Saccharomyces cerevisiae S288C: one gene and its partner. Changing the gene in region 1 together with any one later gene gives a genetic interaction. Each region holds a gene or a part of one and is shown on either strand. Other genes may lie near its edges.

Evidence for each region. A genetic interaction does not mean that the proteins touch.
Region 2: mutations in ASI2 (region 1) and IDP2 together harm fitness more than expected from each alone (negative genetic interaction), as found in Saccharomyces cerevisiae (one large-scale study listed by BioGRID).

What each region holds. Positions count from the first base shown.
Region 1 is NC_001146.8:333,894-342,321, reverse strand, and holds ASI2 (Asi2p), read left to right. Parts: upstream 1-2,974; coding exon 2,975-3,844; downstream 3,845-8,428. Other genes in the region: YNL155C-A (uncharacterized protein), read left to right, coding at 187-411; NSG2 (Nsg2p), read left to right, coding at 354-1,253; IGO1 (phosphatase regulator), read right to left, coding at 1,464-1,970; PGA1 (Pga1p), read right to left, coding at 2,114-2,710; YGP1 (Ygp1p), read right to left, coding at 4,713-5,777; serine/threonine protein kinase CBK1, read right to left, coding at 7,455-8,428.
Region 2 is NC_001144.5:502,721-506,329, reverse strand, and holds IDP2 (isocitrate dehydrogenase (NADP(+)) IDP2), read right to left. Parts: upstream 1,740-3,609; coding exon 501-1,739; downstream 1-500. Other genes in the region: pseudouridine synthase CBF5, read right to left, coding at 1-196; TAG1 (Tag1p), read right to left, coding at 2,083-3,609. UniProt on the Saccharomyces cerevisiae protein: May function in the production of NADPH for fatty acid and sterol synthesis.

The DNA.
Region 1 (8,428 bases):
AGGAGGGTGAGGCAGTTTTATGTATATACGAACGTCGCTGGCCACGAGGGGGGAACTTTTCTTTTTATCGGCATGAGATAAAGGGTAGATACGAAATTAGCTAGACATTTAAAATATGAAAGCAAGGAAATTACTAAACTTCGAGATGTTCTTTTCCTTAAACTTCTAGTTGACAGCTCAACATTGATGATAGGGCTTATTGTAGTACCTATTTTATTTGCAATAAAGGGCATAGTAGTTGGCGTGCAAAAGGTAAAGAAAAAGTTTGGAAAGCACTCAAACACAAAGGACCAAAAAGAAGACAAGGACGAAGATAAACGACAAAGTATTTCTCAAAGAAAACAGCATACAGAATGGCCAATAGAGGAGAACCGGATCCAAAGAAGAGCACCGAATCAATCTGCTCTCTGACTAAACCGCAGCTTTATTCATTATATGATGATGACGTCGTGAGATCGGAAGATAACGAAATTTACGAAGAATTGAAACGCTCTGTCTCTATAGATTCTACCAAATATAGTAGAGATCAAACTATTGATTCGACTTTTTACTTGGCCCATAAGGTTGGCGGCTCGCTGCCAAGGAACACAGTATCTTCTAATAATTTGGAAAGGATTTTATCAGCATCATCCATTCACGAAAACTTTCCGTCAAGAACCAGACAAACTCGTCAAAATATTCTTCATTACCTGCAAGCTGTATTAATTTTGTCATTGAGCGGTTTCGCATATCATGAACTGTCCAGAAACTTGCACGATAATCATCTCTTACATCCAGATTTTGCATCGAGACCCCTTCTACTGGGTGTCAAACTTTGTAACTGGCTATCCAATGGGGTTCTGCCAAACTGGTTAGGCTACGGTGTTGAAGGACTGTTATTTGGTTCTGTTGTACCAATTCTGGATAATATTTTTCAAACAGAGGTTGTTAAGAGCTCTGTCCACCATGACAGTTTGACCTCTGTTATTAGAAGTATCAATGCCATGTTGGGAGTCACATTTGGGATCAGGAAAATACAGTGGAACTCCTCTTTGCAGGCGGCAGGGGCATGGGGGCTTCTGAATATTATACTGTGGTTGTTTTTTGACGGCTCAATATCCATGTTAATGAGCTGCATCTGCATTGGGGTGGGTTGTTGTATCTCTTGCTACAAAGATATTATCGACGGTTCCCAATTTTTATATTTCATGGATTTTTATTTCCTTGGTTCTCTAATGTTTGGAAAACTAGGAAGATATCTATATTCTCATTAAAGTCGAAATTCTGACGAGTAAATATTATTAATTAGAAGTACAAGAAGATAACATCAGAATGGCTTATCGTTTATATATAACTAATTAACGTAAACACAGTCAGCCATATGGCTGTAACACTTGACATTTCGAGAAATCACATAATAAGCGTTAAATATAAGAGACCCTTCTCTTTCCCTAAAAAAATATAAAAAAGTACAGGTTGTCTATTTATCTAATGGGTGATTCAGTATACAAACTGGACGACGAAGAGCTGTGGTTCCCCACTGGCGTTGAACTTGTACTACCACCTCCAATAGTACCGTTATTAGACGATGGTGGTCCACTCGATATACTTCCCTCCTTTTGTATCAACGTCGCATTATCTACTACACCAGCGGTTGAGGCAGTTGACGGACAAGTGCTTATCCTTCTTTTTATTATATCTTCTCGTAGTTTGCTGGGATTTGTTAATGGCAGGTTATTCTTTCCATAGTTTATTGGATCATTGTTTTGAATGCCAGCTTTCTGCAAAGCGTAATCACCACTGTCGAAATATTTTCTTTTCTGCATGGTATGCTTAAAAATATCTTTCTTTGATGGCAGCTTTCCGTACATTTTGTATAGCTTCATTTCGTTGGGCGAGAATTTGCTGGTATCAATAGTTCCGCTTTCGCCGTTATTCAGTTTAGTTAAATCTGGGTTACTACTATTGGGAGATAAGTTTTCATTCGACATAGCGGCGAGTTAGATATTCAGGTCCCTTTCTTTCGATAAAAATACCCACTTTAATGAGAAGCATTTGATGGTTAATGGACTTTTTTACGTTCTAGTTGTGATGAGGCCAAGCTATCCAGCCAAAGGGGGCTCAGGCTTCCATACTAAAATTTCAGCAAAAGATCGTTCAATACGTGTGGTGCCCGGGTAACAACAAGCCCTGCTACTAATAGCACCATAACGATTAATGTTGGGTAAATATCCACGGGGATACCTAGCCGAGTGGTGATTAATGAGACTTGTATTGGAACCATGGCATGCTCACTAGGATACGAGTCAGACAAGACCTGGAAAGTCACTAGTATTCTCGCGTAGTCTGACTTAGTTCCCTGAAATTCAGTGAAACGTGGTATTGTGATAGTTTGGAGATTATTAATGGAAATTGGATGTATTGCTGACCAACACACTTTAATCTGATATGTTTCGTCTCGCTGTAAGTCCGCCAGTTCAATATACGTAGTATTATGCAACTCCAAGTCAGTGGTATTGGCCTCGATAGTGATCTGACTCATTGCTTCTCCCGATAGTGATATGGAAGATATCAAGTTTACATCTCTTGCATAAGTAGAGCTGTCTCTTGGTTTTTTGAGGGGAAAGTTGTGAGGAACCTTATATAAGATTGATTCTGTATTAGCGTGTACAAATCCGATGAAAAATACAATTGTAGCGATAAACCAGTGAACATTCTGAGGCCGGACCATCTTCTTTTTAAAAATTGAACGAACCTATGTTGGCTTAGTGTGTGCGAATACCAAGGGTCAACAACATTGCTGTGCAGTTAATCTTCATATTCATGTAAACTTCTCATTTTTTCATTGCATATTAGTTTCCGTCATTGATGATCTTTTATAACAATAGTGAGAGGAAACAACTCCCTCTACCTTCAAATAGGGTCGATTCGGGAATATGATTAAAGAGACACCGAATCAAACGCATACATCCTCACAAGCATTTAGTGAGAAAAAATGGCGAGGCCTCAAAATCATCGCCGCAGTAATTGGACAGAAAGAGACGATAATGATGATTATCTGTTTCAGCGATTTCTAGAAGAATCGGAAACGAGGCATAGTAGAGAGCCTTCACCTGTAACCGAGCAATCTCAGCAAGAACTACAGCAGGATGTACAGCAAGCAATCGATGGAATATTTAACTCCCTTAGGAGGAATATGAGTTCTACTTCAAATATAAATAGAGCAGCTAATATGGATGCAACCACAAACGGAAATGGAGGAATCAATGCAGACACTATAAGAGCCACCAACGCCAATACGGCCGATTCCCCATTCACAGCAAGGCAGCAGAGCCCTCTCAGAACTTTTCTTAGAAATTTATTCATTTTAGATTACTTTATTGGGCTAATTTTATTCCCATTTTCCGTATACAACATATTAAGGAGCGGGTTCAATTCAATGACCTTTTCAGAGAATGATTTTATAATCGAAATCGTGGGATACTGGAAATTTGCCAAGATATTTGGTTCTGGTGGCACGACATTAATAGCATATAAGGATACTGGTAAATTAGGGTTGCTTGGAAAGTTTCATAACATCATTGTATTTTACTCTTCACCTGTGATAAAACATATTATGAAAAGTAGAGATGGCAATGAACCCAACTTAAATTGGATAAGACTAATGTTCGCTAAAGCTTTCGAGCTATTTGTCAAAGTCTCTACCATTCTGATCTATTTAGCTTATGGCGTAAGTGGTACCGTTTACATGGTTACCGCTGGGTTTTTCTTCGTATTGTGTCTATTATTCACTGTTATTAGAAGATATAAAGGTGTCCATCGAATGTTGGTGAGCCAAAGGATTACAGGGCCAGGCGTATTCTGATGATGAATCCACGATTATAATTTGTGTATTTGCTTATCTGTAGTAGTTTCTTTCGCATGTGGTCGCTGTATGAGACACTTGACACCAGAGGACGTTTATTTTGAAGCAACTCCTCTATGTAAGAGCTGTTTGCAAGCTTTCCGTACTGTGACACTTGACCATCATAACGTATATTAACGAACTACTAGGGTTGTTGTGGGCTTCTTTCAAAATGGGAATTGTTAAAAACTATTGATAAACGCCACTCACTACATGCATTGATTGTAAGATTTAACTATCCTTTTTACCTGATGTCTCGAAAATAAGCGTTTACAACAACTACTATTTTGCCGTTCTAGTTTAAAACATGGACGCTATAAAACACTAAATATATCAGAAGATTTCACTTAGACACAAAAGAAGGGGGTGAGATCCCTTATCTGTAGTAAAATGTATACAAATTATACGGACATTGTTTCTTTATTGTATCCATGTATACATGTGGGGTCTTGACACTTACAGGTAGTGAATGCTAGACCTTCGAGACTTAAGGTGAGCAATGTTTTAAAACTTTTCTTTTTTTCCCACTTCAGTGGAGTGTCACCCCGGGAAGATATTCACCTATGGTCAATGTAGCAAAAGATAATAAAAAAATATGTATGGCCAAGAATTTATATGATTCTTTCATCAATTAATTAATTAATTATTTGGGGTATGTCTTAAATAACAATAAAAAGGTGTATAAAACAATCATACTGCTTTAATGGGAAGTATGGTTCCTATTACGAACGAAAATAAAAGCTGTTGCGTGGAAATTTTGTAAAATAATGGTTATGATGACTGGTAAAAAAAGAATCTCTATGCTTCGCTAGATTTAATATCTATCAGTTCATGGGAAAATGCTTTCCAGAGCGGACTTGGAGGTGACACCATTAACGGCAGCAATGGACAACAAGATTTGGGCCTTAATTGGGGATAGGTAACCAGCACCCACAGCGTTCTTTGGAACATCTTTGTTGTCAATAAAGTTTAATGGAGTGTTAGCTTGAGCATATACGACTGGGATTTCAGTGCTTTCAATAGTAGATGAGGTTGAGTTGGTAGAACCAGAAGAAACAACAACCAAACCTTGAACGGCAGAACTCAAGGAGTCAATCAAACTGGAAGAGTAACCACCGTCATAGACAATTGGAACAATTGGAACACCGTTTTCTAATAGACCATAAGGAGTAGTGAAGTTACTGTATTCCTTTCTGATAATCGAGTCAGAAGAGATTAAAGTTGGCTTAGAAGCATCGAAGAACCATTTAACTTCGTCTTGGTCATCAACGATAGCAACAGGCAAACCAGCACCGTAAGAACAAGCAGTAGGTGGAGTGAAGACACCGGAGTACACTAATTTGTCAGAAGTGACGGACAAGACACCACGTTTGGTAGCGTTCTTATTGTTAGCGACTGGAATGGCATAAGCGGAATCTTCAGTGACAACAATAGGCTTTTCGGTGTCAAAAATGATAGAGAAGAAGAATGAGACAGCTTCCAAAGATTTGGCGTTGGCAACAACAACGGCACCGGCGGATGACTTATCTTGGATCGTTTCGTTAACAACACGGGCAACATTGTACAATTCGGTAATGTTCAAAGCAGAAGAACTGTTGAATAATCTGGTGTAGTTTGTGTGGGTCAAAGAACTGTTGGTGATTGGTACTTGACCACCTGTTACAATGATTTGTAATTGACTGCTTTCGGCAGTAGTAGTATTGGTAGTACTGTTTGTTCCATTAGCGTAGGTAACATTGCTAGAGTTAGACCCATTCCAGGCCGGCAAAGTGGAGTTGATATTCTTACTGTGAGATGCCTTAACAGCCCTGTATTTGAATAGGTTTTCGATTGGGCTTGCGACGACGGCAGATGAACATGCCAAAAGGGCAGATAAAACAACTTGGAACTTCATTTTCTATTACTGTATTACTTAACTGACGATTAATCCTGTAGATGTTTTTTGAGCTGATTTTTTACAAGCAAGAAAGAAATAGAAGGGATATTCAATAAGAGCAATAACCCAAGAGAACACAGCAGAAGTTCTAGCAAATGTCACCCTCTATCAAGCTTTTTATATTTCAGAGATGATGGTTTTTTTAGTGAGGTACTTTTTTCTCCCTTTTTCCTAATTATTACTAATAGGGTAAAAGAGATATAATAGGCGCTTTCTTTCTTCAAAGTATCGATGTTGAACTGTAGCATCGAGAAGCCGGCTTCACTCCCTACTGAGATTCTTCGGAGTTTGAAGATGCAATAGAGTACGAATATATCCCTTTTCAGCTCCTGAGCCTCTCCATTAGGAAAAGTATAAACTTTCGTCAACTTCTGCGCTAATTTTCGGCCCCTTCTTCGAGAAGTTTCGATTCGTAAAGGGTAAACTATTTAGACAGTGTACCCTTTTTGGGCTCATGTGTCTCTTGGACACATAACATGTCCACATAACATGCCCCGATTGGGTAAAAGTGAGAGACTTTTTCGCCCGCCGGATCTTCCGCGGATGACGAGAAAACTTCGCAAAAAAAAAAGTCACAAAAAAGTCACATAATAAACCAACGAATGGCCGATGTTTTACGGGTAAGCAAAAGTTTCGACGGTGAGAAAAAAACTCATGTGTCTTCAATCCCACATCAAGGCCCCTTCCTCTGGAAAGAGATCCCAATTAGGGATACCCGATCCGAGAATTTGAACATTGTGAGAACATTGAATCAATGATACCGAATGTTTAGCCCTCGCCGCCACATTACCCAATAGGGAATTGAAATGGAAATCGACTACTGAATTTTCCTATTGCTCATTTTTCTCTTTCCTTCAAACCATCGTCGGTAAAAGAAGGGAGTGAAGGGAAAAGCCAAAGATGATTAGGGATTCCGTCAGACATTCCTAAATTTGCCCTTTTTAAAAAATAGCACGCTTTAAGATATGCGTGTGGAACTAGTTCATCATGGTTTGACCTATCCCGAACGCTTTTGTTTCTAGCAATATTTGGTTATGACGATCTTTCAAGCGACGATTAATGAACTTGAAAGTGTAGGTTTTACAGTGATCGGTTGTCGAACCTCCGCTATCGTCTTCCCTGAGTTTCATTCAGTATTGTAAGACTGGATCATCTTATAATTTATAGTTCGAAAGGCCGAGAGGAAGCGCGTGATGAAAGCACGATCTTTTCTCTTTTACGACGTGTTAATAACAAAAATTATATATTCTTACACGTGTGTATGTTATTTCATATTTTTTTCAATATGGTCGATATATATAGATACTTCCTCTACAAAATCGTCCCCTGATCTGCCATCTCTTTTACCTTTTTCAACTACATCAGCCATTTTTCTTGTTTTTCAAGGTAAAAAAACCAGCCATCACCGAGATTGTGCTATTGTGCGTGGATGTATGGATTAAGGGCAGCCTGTAGGTTACTAGGTACATTGTCTTCGGAAAGGTGGTCGTTCAAATACTTCAAGGAGACATATGATAAAGCTGATGTCTATTTTGGTAATTTTTTTCCCGAAAAAAGTGCAGTTATTTATTCATAATGTGCGTTCTACATCCATAGATAAATACTTGAATAAAGAGGAATGTCCTTAACGCGTCCCTACAACGCATTTTTTCTTGTCAAATAGTCAAATCTGGAGTAAGTGTAGCCAATAAAAGGTAAATCTTCCTTGACTGGCGCACTTCCACCTTGCTTTGTCATCTGTTCCCTTTGTTTGGCAGCTTGTGCCATAGCTGGGGAATCTGGAACATTCTCCAACTCATCGGTTGGGAAGAACCTAGTATCGGTGATGGAGCTCAACTTTGGTATATACGGTGCTTCTACTTGTCTGATTGTATTCCAATCAACACCGCGAAAAAATGGATGACTTTTTATTTCATCTGCACCACCATGTCTACCAAGTCTTTGGTCTGCATGAGTTAATAGTCGACGGATTAGATCTTCGGCTTCATAAGAGATATGAATATCATCAGGAAATTGTAGAGTTTGCTCAAAATTCATGATTTTTCTGTACGTTTCCTGTGGAGTTTCGGAACAGAATGGAGGCCAACCAATCAGACACTCGTACATAATTGCTCCAAGTGACCACCAATCACACTCTTGCCCATAACCTTGGTATAAAAATATCTCAGGAGCAATATAATCTGGTGTACCTACGGTAGAATATGCCATTAAACGACGTGATTTTCTCCATGTCTGAATTTGTTGCCTGTTTGACATTGTTAGACTAATAGAATCCACAACCATTGTTTGCCTTTTATTTGCAGTATCGGTTGTATTTGCATTGTAAGTACCTGGCTTGGAAATACCATTAGTTGCCTCATCTTGTTGCAAAAGCTTTTTATAGTAGTTTGAGTCGTGAGTTTTATGGAACCCCGTAGACAACCCGAAATCAGATAATTTTATATGACCTCTAATATCGATCAAAATATTATCTGGTTTAATATCTCTGTGAATGAATCCTAATTTATGAATGGTTTCGATGGCCAAAATACACTCAGCCATGTAAAATCTAGTAACATCCTCTGTAAATAGTTGCCACCTGATTAGCATGGTCATCAAATCACCACCGG
Region 2 (3,609 bases), on another chromosome or scaffold:
TATCTAGATTAATGACACCAGAGCTGATATATGATTTCAGGTCTCTCTTTAGTGGTGAACTACCAGCTGGGATAGGGGTATAATGACCACTTCTGACTAATAACTTATCAAAATTCTTCAAAAGTAATGGCCATTCACTAGTGTCAGTGGAAGCACCTGCAGCTTCAGGCTTAATAACGAAATCCTCCTTTGACATTGTGTATATCGGTCCTCTGTGTAGGTTGTAACGAACTCCAGATGATAATGAATCTTTAAAAAAAAAAACCAATAAAAAATGTTCTGAAAACTATCTTTACATTATATTTTTCCTAAGCTAAACATCTCATCATTTGAAAATTTTTCAAATTTTTTCAGCATTTTCTTTTTGCGAAGAGGGAAAAGAAGAAAGAAAAATTTTCAGTGAGAACAGAAGATCATATGTTACGAGTAGAAAATACTAAAAGTTTTTCGATAAAAAGGGAATATATAATATAAATAAATCAATCTGTCATTGAGTAAGTTTACAATGCAGCTGCCTCGAACTCTTTTTTCAATCTAGATTCCACCGCGTCAATGAACTCCTCGGTAGTGACATAAGCGGATCTTTCAGACTTACCGAGAATGAGCGCCAAATCTTTAGTCATGATTCCATCTTCTTGCACTGTATTTACCGTAGCGCTTTCCAATATTTGGCCGAACTTAACTACATCTGGAGTATTATCAAGTTTACCCCTTTGAATAATACCTCTAGTCCACGCGAAAATTGATGCAATGGAATTTGTTGACGTCTCCTTTCCTTGCTGATGCTGTCTAAAATGTCTTGTTACTGTACCGTGGGCGGCTTCGCTTTCAAAGGTTTTACCGTCCGGGGTAATCAACACAGATGTCATTAACCCCAAGGAGCCAAATCCTTGTGCAACAATATCTGATTCTACGTCACCGTCGTAATTTTTCATGGCAATTATGTATCCACCTTTAGATTTCAACATTTGGGCCACCATATCATCAATTAAACGGTGCTCGTACCAGATGCCAAGGGATTCAAACTTCTCTTTATAACTTCTAGCATACATGGCTTCGAAAACATCTTTGAATTTACCATCATACTTCTTCAAAATAGTATTCTTAGTAGTGGAATATAATGGTAACTTCCTTTCAATGGCCAATTCAAAGGAGGCCTTCGCAAACCCTTCGATCGAATCTGTAGTGTTGTACATCATCATGGCAACCCCACCATGTTCTGGGTAGTCAAATACCTTCAGATCTACATCATGAGTTCCGCTCTTGGATTTATAAACAAGCCTCAACTCGCCTTCTTCAGGGACTATTACATCGGTAGCTTTGTACTGATCGCCGAATGCGTGTCTCCCAATGATGATGGGCTTCTCCCATTGAGGAACTAGCCTTGGAATTCTAGGGATAATAATAGGTTCTCTGAACACTGTACCACCCAAAATGTTTCTAATAGTACCATTTGGAGATTTCCACATCTTTTTCAAATGAAATTCCTCGACCCTTGCCTCATCGGGTGTAATAGTCGCGCATTTGACAGCTACTCCATACTTTAAAGTCGCGGTGGCAGAATCCACAGTTACTTGATCATTAGTCTGGTCACGATACTCCACGGAAAGATCGTAGTACTTCAAATCAACGTCAAGATAGGGCAAGACTAACTTGTCCCTGATTAAATGCCAGATTATTCTTGTTTGCTCATCGCCGTCCATTTCCACAATGGGGTTAGCTACCTTAATCTTTGTCATTACGATTTTATATATATACGTACGTTACCTTCTTACCTCCTATTCTCGTGCCTGAGCAGCGACTGTAGTCGACAAGTCAAGAGTGTAGTAACATACAATTGCAGGCTGTCATTTATATATCATGCCGGAGACTAGTTTGCCTATAGCCAATTCCAACCGAACCAATAATGTTAAGTCCGGTTTTTGATATTATACTCCACCCCCACTATTCCTAGCCCTGAAAGGTATCAAAGAGAACACTGATGATTTGACTACTGCATATTCTTCCCTTATTTCCTTATTTGCCGATTTTCGGACCACCGGCAATGACATCCCGGAGTTATAAAAATAAATAGATAGACGTTCACGTGACCAAAGTGTCACCCTCTCCGGCTAACCCGGTGAGAACCCACGGGCCCAATGCCGTCGTAAGTGACGCATCTATCGTCGCATTAAAGTGAATAACTGTAAAACCCTGGAATAGTATTTCGTTCAGGGTTCGTGTTAGTTCCAAGCTATTGACGACTTCCATGTCGTCATTTTCTAGATCAAATTGAAGCTTCATCTGCGTATTTCCTGTGTCCTCATCGTGCAGAATGTGCGATGAAGAGTTGATCCATTGCTTCATGGGTAAGTTTAAGAAATTGATGTCGTTATGGTACAGATCGATCTGTCCCCGAATGGTATCGATGCGAACTCGGTCTTGCTGGTGCGTCTCGTAGAAGGATAGATCAAAGAATCCTAAAAATGTCCCCACAAGACTGAGCTTTTTGCGCGCTGCCCACCGTAGCTGAAGATCGTTGATCTGAAACTCTTGAATCAATTCACTGGAGTTAAACGTAGCATTGGTAGTAATGGGAATAAACGATGCTTCTTGGAAAATATCCTCCAGCATGTCTGCTGGAATCAATGAGTTATTATCTATACCATCTTCAAGGACATGGCCTCTTGCTGCGAACGTAACAGTCTCGTTCTGGTTCAGGACCGCATTCACTATTTGGCTCATTGGTGTAAGACTATTTTGAGGACATTCTTGGTATAGTAGTTCATCGGGCAGAGGACCTTCAATTTCATTTTGTAAACAGACGACGATATTATCCTTGTCGTGGTGCAGATTAATCGGTTCGTTAAAGCAAGACAAGGTTGGAATTGCGATAGCAGGCTCACCGTTACAGTCCGGTAGCTTGATTTCCCAATTGATGAAAGGGATTGACGTGCCTGGCGGAAGGTGAAGCCAGTCCACCCCTCCAAGAATCGTGATCGGATTCAGTCTCATATCGGCATGAAATCCATCAGAACTGGAGTCCCGCAATGTAAATCCTTGAAGAGATATTCCATCGATCATATTTTGAATCATCCGAAGGGGCGTTGCCGATATTTTTTCCCAATCAATAATATCTTTCCAATCTAAGATTTCGTCATTAAGTTTCAATAAATTAAACCTCGTGCCAAATTTTCTCTTGAAGATAGTCATATCTAAATTCGATTTTATATTTAAGGATTCAAAATCCCTATTCCAAAATTTTTTCAAAACTTTTACGATTTTCCAAATAGACGGTTTAACTAAAATTTTGAACTGTAGGTTATTAATCTGTCGGTGAGCCAAATTAAAACAAATGGGTTCCATGCCAACAACATCTCCCAGTTTATTCTTGAACACTAGATCTCCATCGAATGTGGTCACGTTATTCAGATCTATACAAATGGTTTTAAGAACTTTTTCATTGATGTACCGTATCCAGTCACGTTGGCTTCTGGCGTCCGAGTCATTTTCCGTTCCTGGCCATTTGTCATAATCGAACCAAATTTGAGAGTGTATAGACACCTGCAAATACTTACCTGTATCATTGTTCAGGTCAGAGCCCATATTATCTTTCCAACCATCAAGCTG